Linked DNA regions of Astyanax mexicanus. The main gene of each other region encodes a partner of the protein of the gene in region 2 in a complex. Links are inferred from orthologs where the notes say so. Each region holds a gene or a part of one and is shown on either strand. Other genes may lie near its edges.

What was found. The genes of interacting proteins can lie anywhere in the genome.
Region 1: the proteins of ormdl3 (region 2) and sptssa are in contact, whole or in part, in a cryo-EM structure (PDB 7CQI), measured with the Homo sapiens proteins. The link is inferred for Astyanax mexicanus from reciprocal best matches to the Homo sapiens genes ORMDL3 and SPTSSA. Residues at the interface, in NP_001307730.1 of Homo sapiens: Val36, Leu38, Ser39, Ile40, Pro41, Phe42, Ser44; in NP_612145.2 of Homo sapiens: Ile44, Tyr50, Thr51, Val54, Phe55.

What each region holds. Positions count from the first base shown.
Region 1 is NC_064421.1:19,106,094-19,117,043, forward strand, and holds sptssa (serine palmitoyltransferase small subunit A), read left to right. Parts: upstream 1-6,151; 5' UTR 6,152-6,258; coding exon 6,259-6,361; intron 6,362-9,093; coding exon 9,094-9,197; 3' UTR 9,198-9,848; downstream 9,849-10,950. Other genes in the region: E2F-associated phosphoprotein, read left to right, coding at 966-1,033, 2,201-2,385, 2,479-2,592, 2,685-2,799, 2,907-3,032, 3,933-4,233. UniProt on the Homo sapiens protein: Component of the serine palmitoyltransferase multisubunit enzyme (SPT) that catalyzes the initial and rate-limiting step in sphingolipid biosynthesis by condensing L-serine and activated acyl-CoA (most commonly palmitoyl-CoA) to form long-chain bases.
Region 2 is NC_064422.1:44,019,310-44,030,524, forward strand, and holds the start of ormdl3 (ORM1-like protein 3), read left to right. Parts: upstream 1-6,642; 5' UTR 6,643-6,651; intron 6,652-11,215. Other genes in the region: wnt3 (proto-oncogene Wnt-3), read right to left, coding at 6,401-6,642. UniProt on the Homo sapiens protein: Plays an essential role in the homeostatic regulation of sphingolipid de novo biosynthesis by modulating the activity of the serine palmitoyltransferase (SPT) in response to ceramide levels.

The sequences.
Region 1 (10,950 bases), on a different chromosome or scaffold from region 2:
TGAATGTGTTTTTTCACAGTATGTGACCAAAGCTTCCATTTATTATGATGGAGGAATGCTGACATAAAACAGTTAAATGATGATAAAATGACAATGAACATAACAAAAATAAATAACACTGTTTACCTTATTTCATGTTCATTTCATGTGAGTTGGAAATAAGTGTAGCATGAAGAACATATTTTTTAACACCTCTGGTAGATTAAGAGGCTCTGCCCAATATATATGCTTGATGGTATTATTAGATAATTGAATGCATTAATTATATTTGTGGTAATACATGTATTTGTTACATATTTATTAATATTTTAATGTAAAGACTTGGCACAGCTAGAGGGCAAGGAAGACGAGCTTACATTTTTAAACCCTGCATCCATTACAATGGGCATCATGTATTTGCTTTGTTGCACATAACACTATTTAAGAGCTGGTTGTTATTCATCAGAATAGACCATGAACCAGCCAATCAACAAATTTATAAACCAATAAAACAGTAACTTGGCCCCGCCCACTTTGCTAGAAAAACAGTAGTACTTAAGCTTAATTAATAGAGGCTGTTTTTACTAGTTTAATGTAAAAATCTAATTTAGAACACTTATTCATGTTTTTGAAATTAAAAAGTCAATATGAAATAGAAAATATCACACAGGCTTGCAATACAATGGCAATAAAAAATTACATATTTTAGTTTATTGGATTTATTTGCTGTATATATTTTATTATAGAATATTAGTGTTTTCTTTTGTGTGCATTACAGACAGAAAACAGCATTCCTACATTTTATTTCTGTCACTGGAGATAATTCAGGTCTGAAAGGGTTAATACTCAGAAAGCTTTTATTTTGAAATGTCACGTGGAAGAGTCTTGCTCCGGAAAGACACAGCGCTGCTCTCTCGCCTGTTTGTGCTTTTATTGCGTTCCTGTGTGTTTATTTGTTTATTTCCATTTTCTGGATTGAGAAAAAAATGAACCGAAAAGATGAATATGATTCTTACGAGATTGAGGAGCCGAGTGATGAAGAAAGAGCAGTCAGGTAATCACTAATCCGGAGACGCGCTGTTACCGTAAACAAGCAGCGCGTGTTTCTAAAGGTTTACATCTGAGTGCACACTGAGGAGAACAGTAAATCTGTAATAGACACTTTAAATTTATGTATGTTTATTAAAGTAAACTGTGTGTATAATCTCAGCAGAAAGGCGTTTACTCTGCAGCACCCACTGATTTCACTTAAAGGAACTTGTAACACACCTGGGTCTGTAGTTCAGATCTGAACTCTGCACTTTACCAGTATTTTACTTTCATTTTTTCACATATATCTAAGATAGTCAAAAATACTGATTAAAACGTTTTCGTACCAACTCTCTTCAAAGTAAAACACAGCACATACATAGTTTTACCCATGGCTAGATATGAATCACTCAAAAGAATTAACGTGACATTGATCATGCTAAATGTTAATTAAGATAATATACTGATTATTTTAATCGACAATGTCACAATACACTATAGGACAAATAATCTCCATATCCTTTAACCTGTTACATTTTTTATTGTAATTATATTTAAAATCCAGCTACACTACATGCATCTAAAAATCTCAAAAATGATGAGTTGAAAAAGTTACTTTATTTCAGTAATAGAGTTCAAAATGTGAACGTCATATATTATATAAATGTATTACACACAGAGAGTCTCAGAAAATGTAAATATTTTAAAGACTTATGTAAAGACTGATTAGTACTTTTGGCAGTGTGGGCAGTGTGCCAAGTCCTGCTGGAAAATGAAATCTGCATTTGCATAAAAGTTGACCGCAGAGGGAAGCAAGAAGTGCTGTCTTAATATAACACAGTGGACCAACATCAGCAGATAACATGGCTCTCCAACCCATCACTGATCATCAGTTAATGTTGCATTTCATTTGGAAATCAAGGGACCAGAGTCTGGAGGAAGAGTGAAGAGACACACAGTCCAAACTGCTTGAGGTCTAGTGTGAAGTTTCCACAATCAGTGATGGTTTGGAGAGCTATATCATTCATTCAACTCCATTACACAGTTTCTAAAGGGCCCAGAGTGATATCTGCCAAAATGTGCTCCTTTTTTAAGAAGCTTTAGGCCTATAATTGAATCTGACATGGTGCTTTTATAACCTAAAAAAATAAAGCAGCGTGCTTACCTTTTGTTTGAATATATTGTCCTTTAGCTCCGAAGATGAGCTCGACATTCTTCTTAATGGAACTCCAGATCAGAAGAAGAAGCTCATCCGAGAGTATTTGACGGGGGAGAGTGAGTCATCCAGTGGTGATGAGTTTGAGAAAGAGATGGAGGCAGAGCTGAGCAGCACAATGAAATCCATGGAGGGCAACTGGACCTTTCCATCTTCTCAAGGTTATCATTACAACTTTCACTATACAAACTGTGGAATACTGATGTGTGTGATGTGCTCACAGACTAATAGGAATGTGTTGTTTTCAACTGTAGGCGAGGCCTCTCAGACTGGTGACAATGCTTCAACACAAAACACGACCAGAACACAACCTCCGCAGTACGATAACATATACTTTGATTCAGATTCAGATGAGGATGCTTTGCCCGGTAAGGTTGCCAGGAATATGCAAACAACAGGGCGATGTGATATAATTTACTTGCATGAGTGCTAATGAATGTCTGTTAAAATTCTGTTTCAGGTGTCTCCAAGAATCAGAGGAGAAAGCAGCGCACTGTACTTACCAATGATGAGTTATTATATGACCCAGATGAAGATGATCGGGATCAGGCGTGGGTAGATGCCAGGAGAAAAGAGTGAGTCATATAAAAGTAAACCAGAATTACTACAATAATCAAACACTGTAGTGACAGAAGCAGTACAGCTGTCTCGTGTTTTTGACGGTACTTTTTGGTGACTATAGGTACAGAAGCCACAGAAGGTTTAGATCATCTGCAGACAAAAGAAACAAATCCCACCCCCTCCCAAGCAGTGATGCTGTCCTCAACTGTCCTGCGTGTATGACTACGCTATGTCTAGACTGTCAGAGGTAAGAGGGCCATCACATAAATCTACATGTAGCTGCTCAATGTGGTTAGATCCCCAACAGAATTGTAGAATACTGTTGTGATTTTTTTTATAACTGAGGCTTATTGATATTATTGATAATTGATATAATTGATATTATTGATTATTGATAAGGCCAAGCCACATAAACATGCAAGTGTAAACACACCCACTTTGCATTTATCACAGATCCAGTCACTCAGACCACTTTAAGAGATGGTCTGAGACCAATTTCAGCTACAAATTAGAGCAGTGTAAACATATCTATTTCCCTAAGACATATTCAGCAACTGGAACCCCTTCCCATACAACAAAACTCTAGTATTAATTGCCACAATAAAATAATAAGCATATTCTGTCTCACACAACAATCAGATTTTAGTATAACTAGAGACACATTTGACTGCTAAGTGTAAATGTGTGTGGGTAAAATCAAAATATAATATCTGGATATAATCTATATACTAGTAACATGAAGTGACCAGGTGTACATTTTTATGAAACAGAATATCACATGTCCTATCAAACACAGCCCGTAAATGAAAGACATTAGACATTGTATTGTTGAAGACATTGTTAGACTATTTATTTTATTTATTTAATAGTTTATTTGACAGGGACAGTGTACATTAATTAACATTTACTGTAAATGCACCAGAATTAGCCTAAATGCTATTTTTCATCCTTTGTCATTGTAGACTATAGGAAATATCAAATAACTTGATTTGATTTAATATTGATGGATAATGTTAAGTCTGCTGAACATAGCTTTAACATGACATGTACCAATAGCCTGTTTGTTGTTCAAATTGTAAACTAACCATCAAGCCAGTTTGACAACCTAAATTGTATTGTAATTGTGTTGTCTTCTGTTTATACACAGACATGAGAAGTATAGAACGCAATACAGAGCCATGTTTGTGATGAACTGTACAGTGAGTAAAGATGAAGTCCTGAGGTATAAAGCAGCCAAACAGAAGAACCGACGCAAGAAGAAAAGCCATCAGGGGTCCACAGCTACAGAGAATGAGGCAGAGGCAGGTCTGACTGACTCCAGACTGAGTGGAATGGACGAGGAAGAGATTTATCATCCAGTCAAGTGTACAGAGTGTTCTACTGAAGTGGCAGTGTTTGATAAAGATGAGGTCTACCATTTCTTTAACATCCTAGCAAGCCATTGCTGAGTGGATGATGTGTGTGTGCTAAAAGACTCTGGCTGATGCCCCTTTTCCTAAAGTCACTGTATGGAGGGTAATATTGAAACACAGGTGAGAATGTGGGGATGTTTTAGAAGATCTCTGTACTTATGCACATTTATGTAAATTATCTGTAATTTTTGATTTAAGAAAAGTGGATTTCCTTTTTTTTTTTTTAATTTACAGATACATTTCATATAGTTTTACTTTGGTTTAAAAAAAGTAGAATCACCTATTCCAAACCATGATAAGCAAGAGGAAGTTTGTGTCTATTCTGGCATTATTTGAATAAATCTTTTTGGGGACTGCTATTTTAAAAAAAACGTTTTTTTTTGTTTTTTTTTATGGAAAATTACAGCTAGGGTTGGATTCAACTGTGAATCTGAACTCATGGATTATCAGCTAGCTGTTGATCTCTGTTTAAGGAAGCACTGGATTGTGCTGGACACATTACTTCGAGTTCAGATAAGAATTATTTATCTGAAAATCTTCCAGAATTAAAATAGTTCCCCAAGATCACTTTCACTTGTTGTATTATTAACTCATACTTGGTTTATGTATATTTTTGCCAAGGGAACTTTGTCTGTACTGTGATAAATTATTTAAATTTATATGTATGAAGTTATGAGCAGTACTAAGGGTTTTCTAGGAGGATATAATTAAATATTATTTAGATTTGCCCTATTTATGCACAGAAATGAATCAGAGAAACTAAACTTTATTAATTAGAGTTTTAATGTTTAAGTTTCTTTTATTTTTTGTTGCTATTAAAAACGTTTAATGGCTGCAGGGGGATTTATATTTACATGATCAATGCTAAATAGTTAAAATTAAAATTAAACATCTCAAAAACCTTCACATTTTAGATTGGCCGTTGACAGTCACGTGGGTGTACTATGCTTAGCGTCACCAAAGCGCAAGAATTATGGTAATTAGTGTTAATGTGAGCTGTAGTCAAATGTACTAGAACCAAAAATTATATAATATTTGGAGAATTTAAATAAATACAACTGGAGACACAGAAGAAAATTGAGGAAATAGCGCCTGCAGACGAGCTGAGAGAGGATACCAGTAACTCTACTTTGGATTAATAATCTTCTATTTACACTAGCTAGCTGAAATGCTAACTACCTCCGCTGCGTCCAGCCTGTGTTTACACCTGTGAACACGTCTAAAACCAGGCTTTAAACCCCCTATAACTATTTTCCATTTTAGCTGAAGCATTAAAACTCAGTCCACATACCCCAACAGTAAAGGTAAACTGACACCTGTGCGTAGCACTGCATACTTTATTGTTTTTTAAAACATCTGGATATGTGTGGACGGGCCTGAACAAATAACGTTACCCTGTGTTTGAGGGCTATTACTTGCCCTGCATGTATTTGTCCATACAGTTTGTCATAACCGTTTTTGGAGTTTCACACTTTAAGAACATTTTAAGTTACTTTGCACAGCAGGCTTTGCTTGTTTTACATGTTGCTCCTATTTCAATCAAGGGGCTACTAATATATTACACATTTTAGCTATAAACGTCTGCTTGTGTGGTGCTTAAAGAACACTTCAACTCAAGTCATTTGTACTTTTACTCAAGTCTGTGTCTAGTACTTTATACGGTAAATCTCTGTTGTGTACTAGCCTTTCTCATTCAAAATATTATAAAGGCAAAGCGAACAGATTTTTTTTATATAAAATTGTGCATTTCCTACCTTTATATGTTTTAAGAACTCCATAAGTATTTTTTCTAATTAATTATCTGTAAATATCTCATAGTAATAATATTTCTAATGTTTCTCCACCGTTTGTTTCTCTGCATTAAACCCGCTTCGCCGAACAGCCAATAACAAAGCCGCGTAGAGACAAATATGTAAATAAGGACTCGCACCCCACACCGAACAATCCAATCAGGTAACAGCAGCTCCGCGAGTCGCCGTGTCGTCATTTTCAATAATCCACGCTTTGTGAAGAAGGCGGAAGGGAGCGGAGGAGCTGAGACGGGAGAGGAGAGAACAGAACATGGCGATTGGAGATGCCTGGAAGCAGATCTCCTGGTTTTACTACCAGTACCTCCTAGTCACAGCGCTGTATATGCTGGAGCCGTGGGAGCGGACCGTCTTCAGTATCCTTTACCCGGTGTTTCAGTGTAGAGATGAGGGGGAGCGGGGTGTTAGCTATAGCTGTGTTACCTGCCTGCCTGTGTCCTGTGTAATAACCTCGTTAGCCCTTTAGCTACAGCTAGCAACAAGTGCATGTGTGAGATTTCACATTAACCTACTGTCAGTGGGTTAAAGTTGTTATATTACAGATAATCTAATAATAAGATAGAGCTGTTTGATTTCTATGTGTGGGATCTTTTACTGACTCGGGGTTTCATTGAATAACTACTGTATCAGCTGACCTCAGAGGTCTGAGCTGGCTGAGAAACTGGGCTAGCTGGATGGAGTGATTCATCAGTACAGTGGGTTATATAGTATCAGATTACTAGTCACCGGTACGCATGATTTACACTGTTTACACATATATTGTACGAGCACTGATGGGATAAACTGTTGCTAATCACTGTTATTGTTCTGTAAACTTCAAGGAAAATCTGTATATATGTTATTTTATTATTATTAGTAGTAGTAGTACAGTAACTGGCTGGTGGACAGATCTTTAAATCACTCTGTCCTTAAAGTGGTAGTATTTATGACTTGTAGATCACAAGATCTGATCCACGCAGCCCTGCGTCATCACGTCGTGCACGCCTCAAAACGGAAGAAGCGCGTTCGTATTTAATCTCACAATTAAAACTAACTAACTAAATTATGTAAAACAAGCCTTATATATGTACAATTTTAGCACCCATTGTGTATATGTAAATAGAGACGCTTTCATTGTCAGTATAAAATGTTTTGTTTTGTTCTGTCAGGCCACGCCTGTATTGGCGTGTGAGAGGAGTTGATGAGTGATATGGATTTGTGCTGTTGATGATTTTGACTTCAGATAGCGTGTGATTTAAACAGTACCAGTTACAATCAATGCGTTTTTTTCTTTCTTTTTAGGTTTTTAGTTTATTTCTTTTTTTCTTTTTTTTTTTGCATGACTGGGCTTTTATATAGGTTTGTGACTTACTATTAGGGGTACTTTTATATAAAACATTACAAAACTATTGGGTTTACTTTGTCCCACAAAATTGCATAATATATGAAGAAATCAGGCTTCATTAGCCGAAAAACAGCTGAAGAATGTAAATAATAGACCATAGAAAGAGATATGGCAACAACTTGGCACTTCTTCCTTTTTAAATAGTTCCATAAACACCATACATAGACCTAAAATACTGAATGTTTAAGTATTTAAAATATATATTTTTCAAAAGCTCTATTACACAAGTCAGACACACGTTTAATATCAATTTATATTATATTTTTCTGAAGCAATTACAGTATTAAAATCAGCCACGATCCCCTTTTCTCTCCAGTTAACAAATACATTCAGTTCATTGAGCAATAATATTACCTTTTAAGCTACAATGTTAATATATTTAAAAGGGTATAGTTCCTTTCTCATATTCAGTGTTTTAGAGGAGTTTTGTCTCTTGTGCTGAATAAGTGACTCTGCACTCAGGACTGATTTTGGTCTCATATGGGAACTTTTCTCTGAGCTGTGGATCGATTGTGCAATTCTATTGCTCTCGCTTCAGTCATTGCAGTACGTTAGCTTGTTATACTAACTGACTAGCTTTATCTTATGAGCTGTGTGCTTCTTTGGTGGTGCTGTTCTGCACTGTGTGCTTCTACACAGTGCTCCGCAGTGCCTCTAGCGGTATGGCAGTATGTAAAAAAAAATACATACCAGTTTTAAATTCTCTGTGGTATTCCGTATACAGTGCAGCACTACATTAAAGCTATACAGGATTGTAAACAAAAAAAAAGTTTTACACTGTAGATTCTTCTAAGTAGCCACATTTAAAGGAAGATCTGTGCACGCTTGGTATTTTCTCAGTGTCTTCAAGAGGGATAGTCACCTGGAATATATTTCTCAGCGTCTTGAAGGAGTTTCTGGAGGTGCTGAACAATAGTTGCTGCTTTTCCTTCACTCTGTGAAGCTCCAGCTCATCAGCTCTTTTTGTGTAGAAAAAAAATAAATACAGAAAAACATTAAATGAGAATGTGTGTCCAAACTTTTGGCTGGTACTGTATTTGTGTGAGGATTTATATTAAAATATACTGGTACAGTGTCATGATATACTTACGAGCAGAACACTGAATTAGGGAGTGTCTACTGTCTAGACCAGTGTTTCTGCATGATGATGGGAAGAGGGGGAAATGAAATGTGATCTTGTTTAATGTAATTTGCACTGCCTGTCGGTGCATGTTGATTTATACCTGTGAAGAGTTGATGTAGGATTCCAAACAACCACACATTCTCTTAGTTATATTCATAAATAATAATTAATTTGATTAGACACATGAACCAACAACCTACACTGTGAAACACAGTGGTGGGCTTTATACCCTTCTATCCCAAGTCTGGTATTAGGCATAGGATTTAACCTTAAAATGTTTATAAGAGGTGTTACCAAACATTTCGATATGTAGTATGTGAGGTTTTCTGAAATGAAATCAGTGCTCTTTAAGTTTCTCAGAGTAGGAATTCTGATTTAAGATCTGTTCTGCACTAGATCTGTTCCACACTATTTGGTCTGAGAAGCTTTCTGCATACAGTCTCTGAAATCTGCACAGAATATCAGAGGTTGTTTTTGTTTTCTTGTTTCTTTTTTTGGGGTTTGTAGTAAGCGTTTAGATTTACCATATTAAATACTGTAGGTCTCTTTACAAATTAAATATTTTCTTAACACAATGTCAGATTCCCTCTTGGTCTCTGTAGCAGCCATGGCCGTGTACACAGGCTACGTGTTCATGCCCCAACACATCATGGCCATTTTACACTACTTTGAAGTGGTCCAATGACAGACTGAGCTTCTGCCACATTTCAGGATGTCCATTGTTTCCCCCTGGCGGACAAAAAGAGGAATTTCCTTGCAGGATTGTTGCGCTGTACCTGTGGTCACTGGGAACATGAAGAGTTGGCCTGAGACAGTGGAGAAAGGACGATAAAGGATCATGAAGCAGTGGAGGCATTTGAATGGATCCATTGTAGACGTAATGTCTGTGGCTTCGTAGTCCCTTATAAGTGTGCGGTCTGTCAGACTCTAAGCACACATACTGCCCTGTAGTAAATGATGCTTCTTTTTATATAATGCTGACATTTTTATAATGCTTCAGTTTCCTTTGATGGCGGCGGCTTATTGAGATGGTAAATACTGTATTTTGTGATATTAAAATGTGTATATTTAATTGTATACATATTTGTAATGTTTTATAACAATTTATTTTGACTGTTGACAAGATTAATTTTGTTTTGACCACACTGCAGCAATGTGTAGATAGATTTTCTTTTTCTTATTCACCATCTGTATGACCTCTTGCTGAGAAATGCCTGTATATTAAATCTCATTGTTACTATTTTAAAACTAAACGAGTCTCTCAGGTGGTAATTCTGTGGCACCTTTCCCTGTGTATATAAATATGACCTTCAATAAATACCTCCTTCTCTTTAAAGTCTATGCACATTTTATTTGAACTTTAAACAGTCTTTACAAATGAAGAGTTGAAAGTAATGATACAATTGTAATAATCTGTACACAGAAATTACTGCATCAATTGTTGTTTGACTGATGACCTTTACAGAACAATATCTTTAAATCTTGTTTTGATGTACTTTGGGTTCAAAGAATTTCTGTATGTCAATAATCTTGTTTACACAAAAGGGACTTTCTATCATTCAAGGTCAAGACACCACAGTCCAAGTTCAGAAAAACACGTAGATAACACTGAAAGGTTAATGAAAGAGTAGGATTTACATTATAGGCAGCCAGCTTATAGTAGTAGATTACATGTAATTGCATTACATAGTCCGGACTGTTCCTCAACTCAACTGTAATTCTCAAAAGTTTTTTTTTTGGTTTATCTTTAACTGTAATTCGTTACATATACAGTGAAAACATAACAGACAAAAAAATGTTCCCTAATCCGATTATGTTTGTTTCTAAGTGACTGAGTAAGTATTTGTGTTCAAAGCTGCTGCTAATGTTTTGAAGCCATAATGGAGCTATTTGGGTCTAACAGCGCCCTCCGTGGGGGAAAAAGAATATATCTGTCAATTGTGCATTCCAGCGCCAAATAGGCTATTATCTTTTAGATAGAAAGAAATATTAAAAGGTAGAAAAATCAGTATTAAATCTGTGTAGATAGACTTGCTAGGTTTGCTGACTGCTGGATAGTATATTGCCAAAATCTTATTTTGGTTGCTAAACAAGTGTGCAGGTGTGTTTTTAACTAATATTTTAGAACCTATTAATCACATGCATATAACTAGTAAGCTAACTACATAGTTGACAGGGTTTTCTCTGTTTATTTGTTTGTTTTTTACATTTAATAAACGCAGCAGCCCTTCACACTGTCATTCTGGAACAAACCTCATACACAAGCAGACCAGACCAACATAAACCAGTTTAGACCACTTTCGATTACCATGGAATTCATATGCAAATTCATGAAAATTGTTTTATCTGAATGTTTAGAATTTTCTGAATAAAATTACCAATACATATAATCCAACATCCACATGTTTAATCCAAACAAATGTTTACATTAATTATAA
Region 2 (11,215 bases):
TTATTGAGATTTTAAGTGATAGACGAACACAAAGTATTGCATAGGGATGAAGTGGAACGAGAATAATGCATGGTTTTAAAACATTTTATCAAATAAAAAACTAAAAAAGTATTTAGCCCCCCTATATCACCCATATCAAGCCAGGTTGGATGGAGAGCGTCTGTGAACAACAGTTTTCATGTCTCTCCACAGAAGACTCAAGAATTCAAGGAGATTTTATTGTCATTCGCATCACATGTGGTACATGAGGTGGAACGAAATTGTGATCACACGATCCAGTTTACACCCAAGAGCTGTTATTAAAATAGATAATATAGATAAAATAAAGAATACAATAAAAAAGAGAATATACAAAATAGATAAGATAAGATCAGTGGGATTTAGGACTGGATCGTTTTAACACATGAATATTCTTTGATCTAAATCATTGCACTGTAGCTCTGTAGTGCTGTATGTTTAGGGTCATTGTCTTGCTGGAAGGTCTCAAGTCTTTTGTTGCCTTCAGCAGGTTTTTGTCCAGGATTGTCTTGTATTTATCTCCATCCATTTTCCTATTAACTCTGACCAGCTTCCCACATCTGTCCCTGCTGAAGAAAAACAGGTCTACAGCATGATGCCACCACCACCATGCTTCACAGTGGGGTGATGTGTGTAGAGGGTGATGAGCAGTGTTTGTTTTCCTCCCCATATAGCGCTTCGCATTAAGGCCAGAGTTCAAGTTCAACATTGGTCTCATCTGACCAGAGAACCTTCTTTCATATGTTTGCAGCAACTGCTTACTGCAATTCATATGTTTCTTTTAACAATGATTTCTTTTTGACACTTCTCCATAAAAGGCCATATTTGTGGAGCGCATGACTTATGATAGTTGTTCTGTATACAGATTCTCCAACCTGAGCTGTGGATTTCTGCAGCTACTCCAGAGTGACCATGGGCCTCTTGGCTGCTTCTCTGACCTATGCTCTCCTCGATACCCTGGGGGTACCCCCTCACTGTACCAGCACAACACACATTAACACCTTATACACCACCACCATGCTAATCAGTGCTAATCAGAGCAGTGCTGAGAATACCCCCCCCTATCTATCCTGTTGAGTCTACTGCTGCCTGATCACACATGTACATACACACACTCTGCAACAGACATTCCAGCTCCTCCGACCTCCCATCCTGAGAACATTTGTGCTTCTCCTAAGGGTTGCCAGATCTCAGCCTGGTTTGATTAGTTATAGAGTTTGTTAGTTATAGAGAGAGACTGGAACCCTGTAAGGTTAGCTGTAGTTCTCCCTCACGCCAGCACACACAGAACTGCAATTCGTACCGGGAAGAAAGAAAGAAATGTACAGAGCGTTCCAGAAGTGTTTTTCTTTCTTTGCGAGAGGGATTTTTCTCAGAGTAACAAACACGTTGCATCAGTTTGCGTCAGTGTTTACTACGCTCTCTCTCACGCATTCTTCGGCCACACGCAGCGCGAGTCTCTGCACGGTTGCGTAAGATAGGCTTAAGAAAAAAAGGTGAGGTGAGAAGCGATGGTTTTTCATTGACCTGGCTGAGAGTGTGACTCAGGTGGATGTTGTCATTCTGGGGAGGAACTGCTGAGTCATTCATTTTACAACTTTACATACTTAAAATCCATTGAAAAAAGTTAGAATTTTTACTAGGGATGGGCAATAAGGCCCTAAAATGTGTCACAATATTTCAGGGTATTTTTGCGATAATGATATTTATGTTGGTATGACAAAACATGGTATTTAAAACAATAATAATAATTTAAAGAATGTACTACTGCAAGTTTATAAATGATTAGTTTGTAAATATTAACTCACCAAATCAGTGTAACAATAAAAATGTATAGTGCAGCATCTCCTATTTTGATAAACATTTCCGTTTCAACATCAATGTAAATGTGCCAGAGTTAGCTAAAAAGCTTATTTTCATCTGTATTCCCTGGGGCATCTAAACGGCAAACATACAATTACATGTAAATATATTAAATAGCTTTCAAGTATATTGTGATATCACTATAAGGAGTTATATCATGTCAGAATATTTGGTTATACTATTGCGTACGATACGATATGGTACATCTCCTACATGGTACTATAATTTTTGATTGTAGTTTTGATTTTTGATTGTTTAAGAAAACATTACAAAACATTACAAAAGCAGCACCAGTAGTAAAGCAGCATAAAGTTATCCAAAAGCAGTGTGTAAGACTGGTGGAGGAGAACATGATGCCAAGATGCATGAAAAAAACTGTGATTAAAAACCATCAGGGTAATTCCACCAAATATTGATTTATTTCTGAACTTCTGAACTTTATGAATATGAACTTGTTTTCTTTGCATTATTTGAGGTCTGAAAGTTCTGCATCTTTTTTGTTATTTCAGCCATTTCTCATTTTCTGTAAATAAATGCTCTAAATTACAATATTTTTATTTGGAATTTGGGAGAAATGTTGTCTGTAGTTTATAGAATAAAACTAATGTGGTCTCTTTTTTTCCAAAGCTGTATATGTTAGCTAAACTAAGTGCCATCTCAAAGATTTGTTAGACATATTTATTTAAAAAGCGCAGTAAATTTTTATTCCCCTAAACAATTTTTAACAAATATTTTTGGCCACATTTTTGGCACCTCTAGTCTGTGTAATATTACCTATCCTAAAAGGTGAAAGGTGAGGTGAGAGGTCAGGTTTATTAACCTGGCTGGGAGTGTGACTCAGGATGTCGTCAGGTGATTTTTTTTCCTCCTCATCATGCTGTCATACTGGGAAGGAACTGCTGAGTCATTCATTTCAACACTTTTTTAAAAAATTTAGTTTTTTTTTCTTCTGAAAATTCTTAAGGTGCTCAGCTTTTCTTGTCTTGTTTTATGTTTTACATAAAGCCTGAATTAATTTGAGAACTTGTCGCCGTTATAATAAACCACCACAATAAGTACACATATTTTACAGTATTCCTAATAATCACAACTCCACAGCGCTGTCGTTATGTTATTAAGATACATTAATGTTAATAGATTTTTATAAGTTTCTCTGGTCATAAATCTTACCTGCGGAGAGTTTCTGTAAAAATGTAAGTAATTTTCTTCTGTATTTCCACTTAATGCTACCTTGTGTTTATCAAACTAGTACATTTAACACTGTTTTAAGTTGTTTTCCAGTGTTGTTTCAGCCTGTACTCTATTTTAAAGTAAGACCTGACTGGCTGAATCTACTGTTAGCTTAGTGGGTTAGCCAAATCACCGGGGAAGCTAATCCCCCTTTAGCCGGGTTTACTAGCCTTACATGCGGCCGGTGCACTAAACTTTGCTTATTGTTGTATCAAATCTGAACTAGTGGGTCTGGGTAAATTTCACACTTTTACAGAAATTTATGAAACATGTTATATTTCTGTTTTCTATAACTAAAATGTCAGTATATATGTATAGTATTGTTAAAAACGAAGGCTTTCAAAGCCTCATTAATGTTCTGGATCATATTTTACCCACACATAAACATTTGAGTAAAGTGGACATAACAAACCTGTATAGAGACGTGAAGCACGGTGTCGCAATTAACTAAGCTACATTAAATTATATTAAAAGAATAATTGAAATAAAAACTGTTGTGTTTATATAAGTCGATATAAAATAAACACTAATTGTGTTTCTTGTATAATTACAACATTTCATATTTAAAGTACAGTTTTTATTGTAACAGAAATGTACCTAAATTAATCGATTTTGAATCAAATAACGTACAGCAGCGTCATGCTGCAAAATCACATTATGAAGCTTTTTTAATTTAAGCGAAGATTACTTTATTATCACTTATATAAACCGAGTTCATGCAAAGTGACCATGCCAATAGATTTTTATTGTAGCCTACTTTATATATTTGCATCAATAATTGATGAAATTACTGTAGAAACGATAGGGTCCCCATGATATTTATCATCATATCACACAGCACTAGTGACAAGCCTACTTGTGAATCAGAATCGAATCGAACTGGGAAATCAGTGACGATACCCACCCCTACTCTTAATGTGTGTTTTACGTTTTGTATGTATGTTCTGTTGTTGTTTTATTCTAAGGGGACACAACACACACACACCGCTTCACTGCTCTTTTCTCCTGATGTTTGTGTGTTTGGGCACACACCTCTCAGGGTGGGAGGCCAGAATGAGGCCCGGTTGGTTCTGGCAGGCCCAGCTGGGTTGACTACAACAGAGTGCTGTGAGCTGAGGGCCCCAGGAGCTCTGGCCCCGAGCCAAACGGAGCGCTGCTCCCGCTACCTGCTGGGCCCATGAATCCGCCTTTGTCTCTCTGGTGTCACACTGTATTACCCGCACAAAAGGGCCCGGCACCCCCACACCCCCACAGCCCAGCTTAGCTCTGCCCAGAGCCGGCCTGGCATTCCCAACAGGAGCACCCCCCCATTTATCCCAGCAGCGACATGCACACACCAACCATGAACCCTGGAGCCTTTCTTTTTCCTTCTCACCCCGGGTTGGATTGTTTCTTAAATAAACCCTCAATATATTGAAAACCACTGGCTTCCCTGTATCTTCCTCTCTCTCTCCTTCACTCTCTCTCTCTCTCTCTGACCTCTCCCCCTCTTCACCATGGCCAACCTCTCTCCTCTGCCCATCACTGCACCCCCTTCCTGATGGGGAAGGTTGGGAGATTCCCTTTCAGCCCGTTTTCATGACACAGTCAAAAGGGCGTGTGAATGGGGCGTTCGTGGGAGCCGGGCTGTAAGAGGCACACAGAGATGGCTCATACTGGCCTTCACGCACAGTAGGGGTTGAGCGGAACCCCCCAACACCCCCCATCTCAGCCCTTTTCTATTGCTTGTAATCTCATTTGGCCTCCCCATCTCTCTCTCTCTCTCTCTCTCTCTCTCTCTTTTTCTCTCTCTCATTCACTCACTAACACTAACACTCGCGGCCAGGCTAGCGCTGCTCTCCATCAGGGGCTGCTCATCTTCACCCTCGGGGATCTGGGGATCTGCCGCAGAGGGAGATAAGGAGATAAGGAGATAGGCCACCTCCACTATCTGTCGCTCAGCAGAGTTTCTGCTCATTTAGATCACCCATTGTCTTCTTCACTGTCTTTTGTTTAAAAGAAATGCAGGAATAAAGGCAGAGGAATAAACATAATCGCCAATTTCACACTGTGAGTGTTATTAAAGCATGGCGGTGGAGTTTTTTCAGCAGATATCCGTTACGTCTGCACAATTTTTGGTTGCTTTTGTCTGTGATATACTAAGGGGTGTAACCTCATTATGAACCCAAGGGTTCGGTACATTTTTGTTATGTTTTCGGTACGTTTTTTTTAGTAGGGCTGCACAATATGGGAAAAATGCGATTTCATTTTCCAGCAGGACTTGGCACACTGCCCACACTGCCAAAAGTACCATTTGGTCTTATTTAATATTCCAATTTTCTGAGGCACTGATTTTTGGGTTTTCATTGGCCTTAAGCCATAATCATCAACGATTAACTAAAATAACCGCTAAAAATAGATCACTCTGTGTTTAATACATCTATATAATACAGCTCTGGAAAAAAATATAATCAAGAGGAAGATGTATGATCAAAAGCCTTTAAAACAATCTGAACTGCTTGAATTTTTGCACCAGGAGTAAAGACAAAGTTATCCAAAAGCAGTGTGTAAGACTGGTGGAGGAGAACATGATGCCAAGATGCATGAAAACTGTGATTAAAAACCAGGGTTATTCCACCAAATATTGATTTCTGAACTTTATGAATATGAACTTGTTTTATTTGCAGGTCTGAAAGCTCTGCATCATTTTTTGTTATTTCGGCCATTTCTCATTTTCTGTAAATAAATGCTCTAAATGACAATATTTTTATTTGGAATTTGGGAGAAATGTTGTCTGTAGTTTATAGAATAAAACAACAATGTTCATTTTACTCAAATATAAACCTATAAATAGCAAAATCAGAGAAACTGATTCAGAAACTGAAGTGGTTTCCTAATTTTTTCCAGAGCTGTATGAGAGTTTCAGATTTTGGACTGAATTACTAAAATAAAGTAACTATATTAAGGATATTCTAATTTTTTGATATTGACTTTATTGTTATAAAGTAACTGACATAAAATAGTAGTCATTGGGACAGGCCTGCTCTAAACCATGTGTTAAACCCTCAGCATCTTCTGTATTAGTGGTGGGTTCTTGGGGAACAACCATTCTAAATGATGCATTTTATTCATTATATTATTATTAATTATTAATTATTCTAAAACCAGTGTTTCCGTAAGTGTATTCTGTTCTGATTGTATCTCAAGAGCTGATAAAGCCATTAGCTACCTGAGCACACCTTCAAAGTAATATTCCAAAGCAAACACATAGCAGAAAAGTGATTGACATTCTGTATTTAATGTATTTTACCTTTGTCCAGCACAGGACCGAAGATGGCCAGGTTGTCCTTTATGGTGGTGCAGTTCCATCTGCGGCCACGGAACTGATGCTGGCACTCCTGGATGCCCAGTTTGACGCCCTCGGCCACGCTGGGCATGATCTCGATGTAGTTGCGGCAGAAGCGCAGCTGCTTGGGAACCAGGCCAGGAATGGATCCGCAGAGGATGGGCTGGGAGCCCAGGGATGAGTACTGCTGCCCCAGAGCCAGGGACCTGCAACAGGTAACGGGAGAACATGCATCAGAAAAACTACCCATTACATTAGAGAGGGTGGAAGTGTGTACAGCGTGTAAGATGTACAGCATGTTACAACACAAGTACAGTATAGTACAGTTTTTCAGTCGATACGTAGAGGAAAAGTAAATGCAGTCAAGAGACAATGTGTAGTCTTAGAATTTTCCTATTGTTTCAACACTTTGATTTCTTTTGTTTTAGAAATATGAATTTTAGTAAATGAGAGAGAATAGAGGGACTGTGTAGAAGAATCCATTGGGGTCTTCAAGGAACCATCAACAATTTTCTTCCAAAAACCTTTTCTTGAAAGAAACTCTTGCATGGCATGCATTTTTTTTTATTTCTCTTTGCTATTTGGGCTAATTGGCACTTTATTAGTGTAAAAACAAAGAAATGTCTTTTTACATAATATAGTTTCTGTATGTCCACATATGAGGACTTTAGTTTTATATTTCTATAGAACACAATGAAGTTTGTAGTTAGTAATGATGTGCAAAACATTTATTTTGTGCCTGAGTGCAAAATATAAGTAGAAATTTGGCTCATTTGAAGATTCAACTTCAAAACAAAGACATAAAGTAAATAGCATAAACTTTTACTGTATTTACTGTTTATTTAAATTTCTGAAGAAAATCATACTGTAATGTGTAAAATTCTTTTGCCACCACTAAGTGACAGTATAATGGCCTCTTAAGAGGACACCAGGCCCTTGTAGAGCAACATTTTAGAGTTGTGCTAGGACGTTAAAGCATTTTTAGGGGCTCCCCCACACTGTCAAGAGGGGTTATATAATTGTTCTGTAAAATTCTGTTTACACTAGTTAAAAGTAAAAAAGGTGTGTAACTATAGGTTTAAATAGGATCTTCAGTGGATTTGGTGTTTTACAGCAGTGTTTCTCAACCAGGGTGCCGCCTGGCTTCATCGGGGGTGCCGTCAAAATATTGCGCTTCACGTGCATATTTCCTTTCCAGAGTCAGCTCGTGTCGGGGTGTGTCCCAATTCACAGGCAGCATACTCTGAAGGATGCGACCCACAGAGGCGGTGTATTACTGCGCAGCTGTGACGCAATCTGTCTTCGAATACAGCCTCTGAAGGATGCAGCCCCTAAATTGGGACACACTGTAAAGTTTTTGTCCCCCCACGCGATGCACGCGCTATTTTATTTCATATTCCGCCAGCAACACCCCTCGTTCTCACCTGAAGTACTGCGCCAGCACCTCCCCCCCCGTCCGTAAACTGGGGTGCCTTGACATCTCGCATATATTTAAAGGGTGCCGTGATAGAAAAAAGGTTGAGAAACGCTGTTTTACAGAGATTCTAAGACTCGGTCAGTGGCTGAACTGCATATACTAATCATATATGACAGTAACATATGACACTGCAAAGACTGTTATTAGTGTAAAAAATGTCTTTATTTTAAAACATTTCTAACTGTTGTTCATCTCGCTGCCTCCTGGTGTTGCAGTGCTGTTAGTCAATCAGAGGCGATATGTTTGCATGTGTGAATATTCATGAGCAAGAGCCGAAATCCTATCATTTCTCCCCTCCACCCACTCCTCCACCGGACTAAAGCAGCGTTATACCGGATCACCGGAGCACAACTAGACATTTTAGAATGAATTAAAAAAATTAAGGAATGAGACAAAAAAAACACTAAAACCACCTAATTCCTCAATGTGGATAAAATAACTCTATTCTTATGTTCCATCTGAAAAGATTATTTTTAATTTATGCAGTTTGGGACAATTCGTCACTTTTATGTTATCTTCCAACCATTACAAATTGAGAATTAATATATGAGGTAATTAATGACCTTGATGTGCTTGTACAAAGTAATGCTGTCCTTCACCGTTTTTATAAATATGCATACCTTGTGTTTATTATATAACATATTCACATTTGTTAACTAACACCTTTATTAATTAAAGTATTTATCTTTTTGTTAAGTAAACATATTGATAAAAAACAGTTACTCAAGGAAAGTATACTTTAACAGTGTATAATGGCCTTATACACTTAATGAACATTACATTTCATTACATTACATTACATTTGGCAGATGCTTTTGTCCAAAGCGACTTACAATAATGAAGTACAAAAGTAATAGAAGTTAAAGGTAGAAACAAGCAGGCCTCCCCACAATACACAGTGTCTGTTTACCAAGAAAAATGAGACTGATCCAGATAAATAGCGTATGTGTTTGTTTGTGTTCTTCACTGGCTTTAAGAACACAGTCATTAATCGAGTTAGACCCCATTAATCTGACTGTAATATTATAACCATCCTACATGCAGCAGTGTTGATGTGTTGATATTAGAGCATCGTTTCATCCTCAGATGTTTATTTGTAGTTATTTAACTAAACTGTTTTTGTTCTTCGCTGTCTTTCTGAACTTGTATTAATTGGCTGAGTCTCACATTTACTTAACTTTCACTGAGGTGTAACCTTTGATACCTGAGATCTGAGTCAGACTCTTGGCTCGCTGCCTTCCGCTGCCTTGTGGTGTGCAGGACTGTGGTGTTTAAGTGTGAATGCTTGTGCGCAGTAGCTGACTGATAGCTGACGAAAGGCATTCCAGAGAGCGAGCGCTGCTCCGTGCGGAGCATCTGCCTAAACACGGCCTCGGTACCACCTCACCAAAACAGCCGTGCCAGAAACCATTACATTTCATTCACATAATTCATTTTAATTGCCTTCTTTTTCACCCGAATGTAAGAACAAAGAAAGAGAAATGCTATGACATTCACCATGCCTGTGTTTTAACATGTTTGCTGTTATGACAGGCTCAAACACAGCTGAACTCCCATCCTCTAAGCAGTAGTTCTGCTTAGTTTATTCAATATTATATGTCAAATAAACTCATTTACTTTCTCCGTCTCTTCCTCTCACCCCTTTCTGGAAAGGTTAATCAAATATTAGATCATATTAAGTGCTTTAAAAGTGTGTGTGGGAGGACAGTTACAGCTACCTTTAATCCTCTCTCTAAAATCTCATTCTGAGCTCACCATGCTGCACAGAACTCACTTCCAACTAGTTGTGACCTTAGGTTTCTATTAGGGCTGTCAACATAAAAGCGTAATACACATGATTGATTGATTGATTGATTGATTGATCAGTAACATGCTATTGTTTTTCAACCCATCTAACAAATATACTTCTTTTTAATTGAGCTAAACTGCTGACAAAACACGCAATTTATTTTGATATTGTAGCCAGATAATATACTGCTATAAACAAACGCTGTCTCTGCTGCTCCATGCTGTTTACACACTGAGTGCACAGTATGTGCAGCGTTCACAAACTCATCAAATAATCCAGATTATAGAAACTTTCCCAACTACAGGTGTGAAAACGCTCTTTTTATACTTAGCTAATTAAGATCTAATTCAAAAATCCTTACAACCAAGCTGAGATGTTTAAAATAAAGTAAAAAAAGTTTCCTTTATCCAGTTTATCATGCATTATTTATTCCATCTCCTCTTAAACATACAAGAATATGTTTACATTCAATCTTTCAAATACAGTTATGTAGCCACTATAAAATCTTGTCTTAAGAATAAGTGCGGTTAAACGCAGAATATTTTTGTAATTAATCTGTTTAATATTTTTAACCGATTGACACCTCTGACTGGTTGTTCCATAGTGACTAAGTTGCTGTCACTCGTTCAAATGCAAGGTCATGCTGCTTTCCCATCAGCAGCCTGAGTCCGAGAGAGCACAATTGCCCATGCTCGATTTGGATGGGAAGATGTTGGCTTTTTTCCTAAATCACCAAATCCTAGGGTTTTAAAATTGCTGGCCCATTGCTGACACTGATGTGCTGATGTGTCAACTGCACACAGTCAGTGAATGTCTATTTTCTGATCTATTTTCATACATAAGGAGCACTGGATTATAAGGCGTAGTAAGGAACAGGTGTGTCGCCATGTTTTCCTTCAAATTCAGCAGGTCTCTGCGCTGGGTGATAGTGGGGGGGGGGGGGGGACTAAAAGCAAGTAAAAAAGACTGTAATTCATAAAATAAACACCTTCTTTCAAAAACAAACGAACGCTGAATGTTAATCTACACAGATTTCTCTCCTGAAACAAAAAGGCGCTTTTGTTTATTTACAGTAAATTTAGATTAACAAATTTCTCCAGCACTAAAGCTGGAGCATTAGCATTAGCATTAGCTGCTTAATGCTAGCGCTAGTAAATGCCGTCTTACAGTGCTACACTGAGGTACCCTGAGTGTCCTGGAAAATAAGGATGCTATCAGGTATTGGTTTGTCCTATGTAGCTTGTTTTAACACGGTAAACACGCAGACTACAGTCTGATATACTCACGCCTGACGGTAAAAAAAGCTAGCATTTAGTGCGGTTAGCGGCTAATGCTAATACTGCTCCAGTCTTGGTGCTGGAGAAACTTTACTGAAACTCTTGTATAACTCTGTACTTTAGTGGAGTGGCTTTACTGCTCCTTAATACCTGACTGGTAGAATTCATACATAAGGAGCACCAGATTATAAAGTGCAATGATGATTTTTAGGAAAATTAAAGGATTTTAATATAGT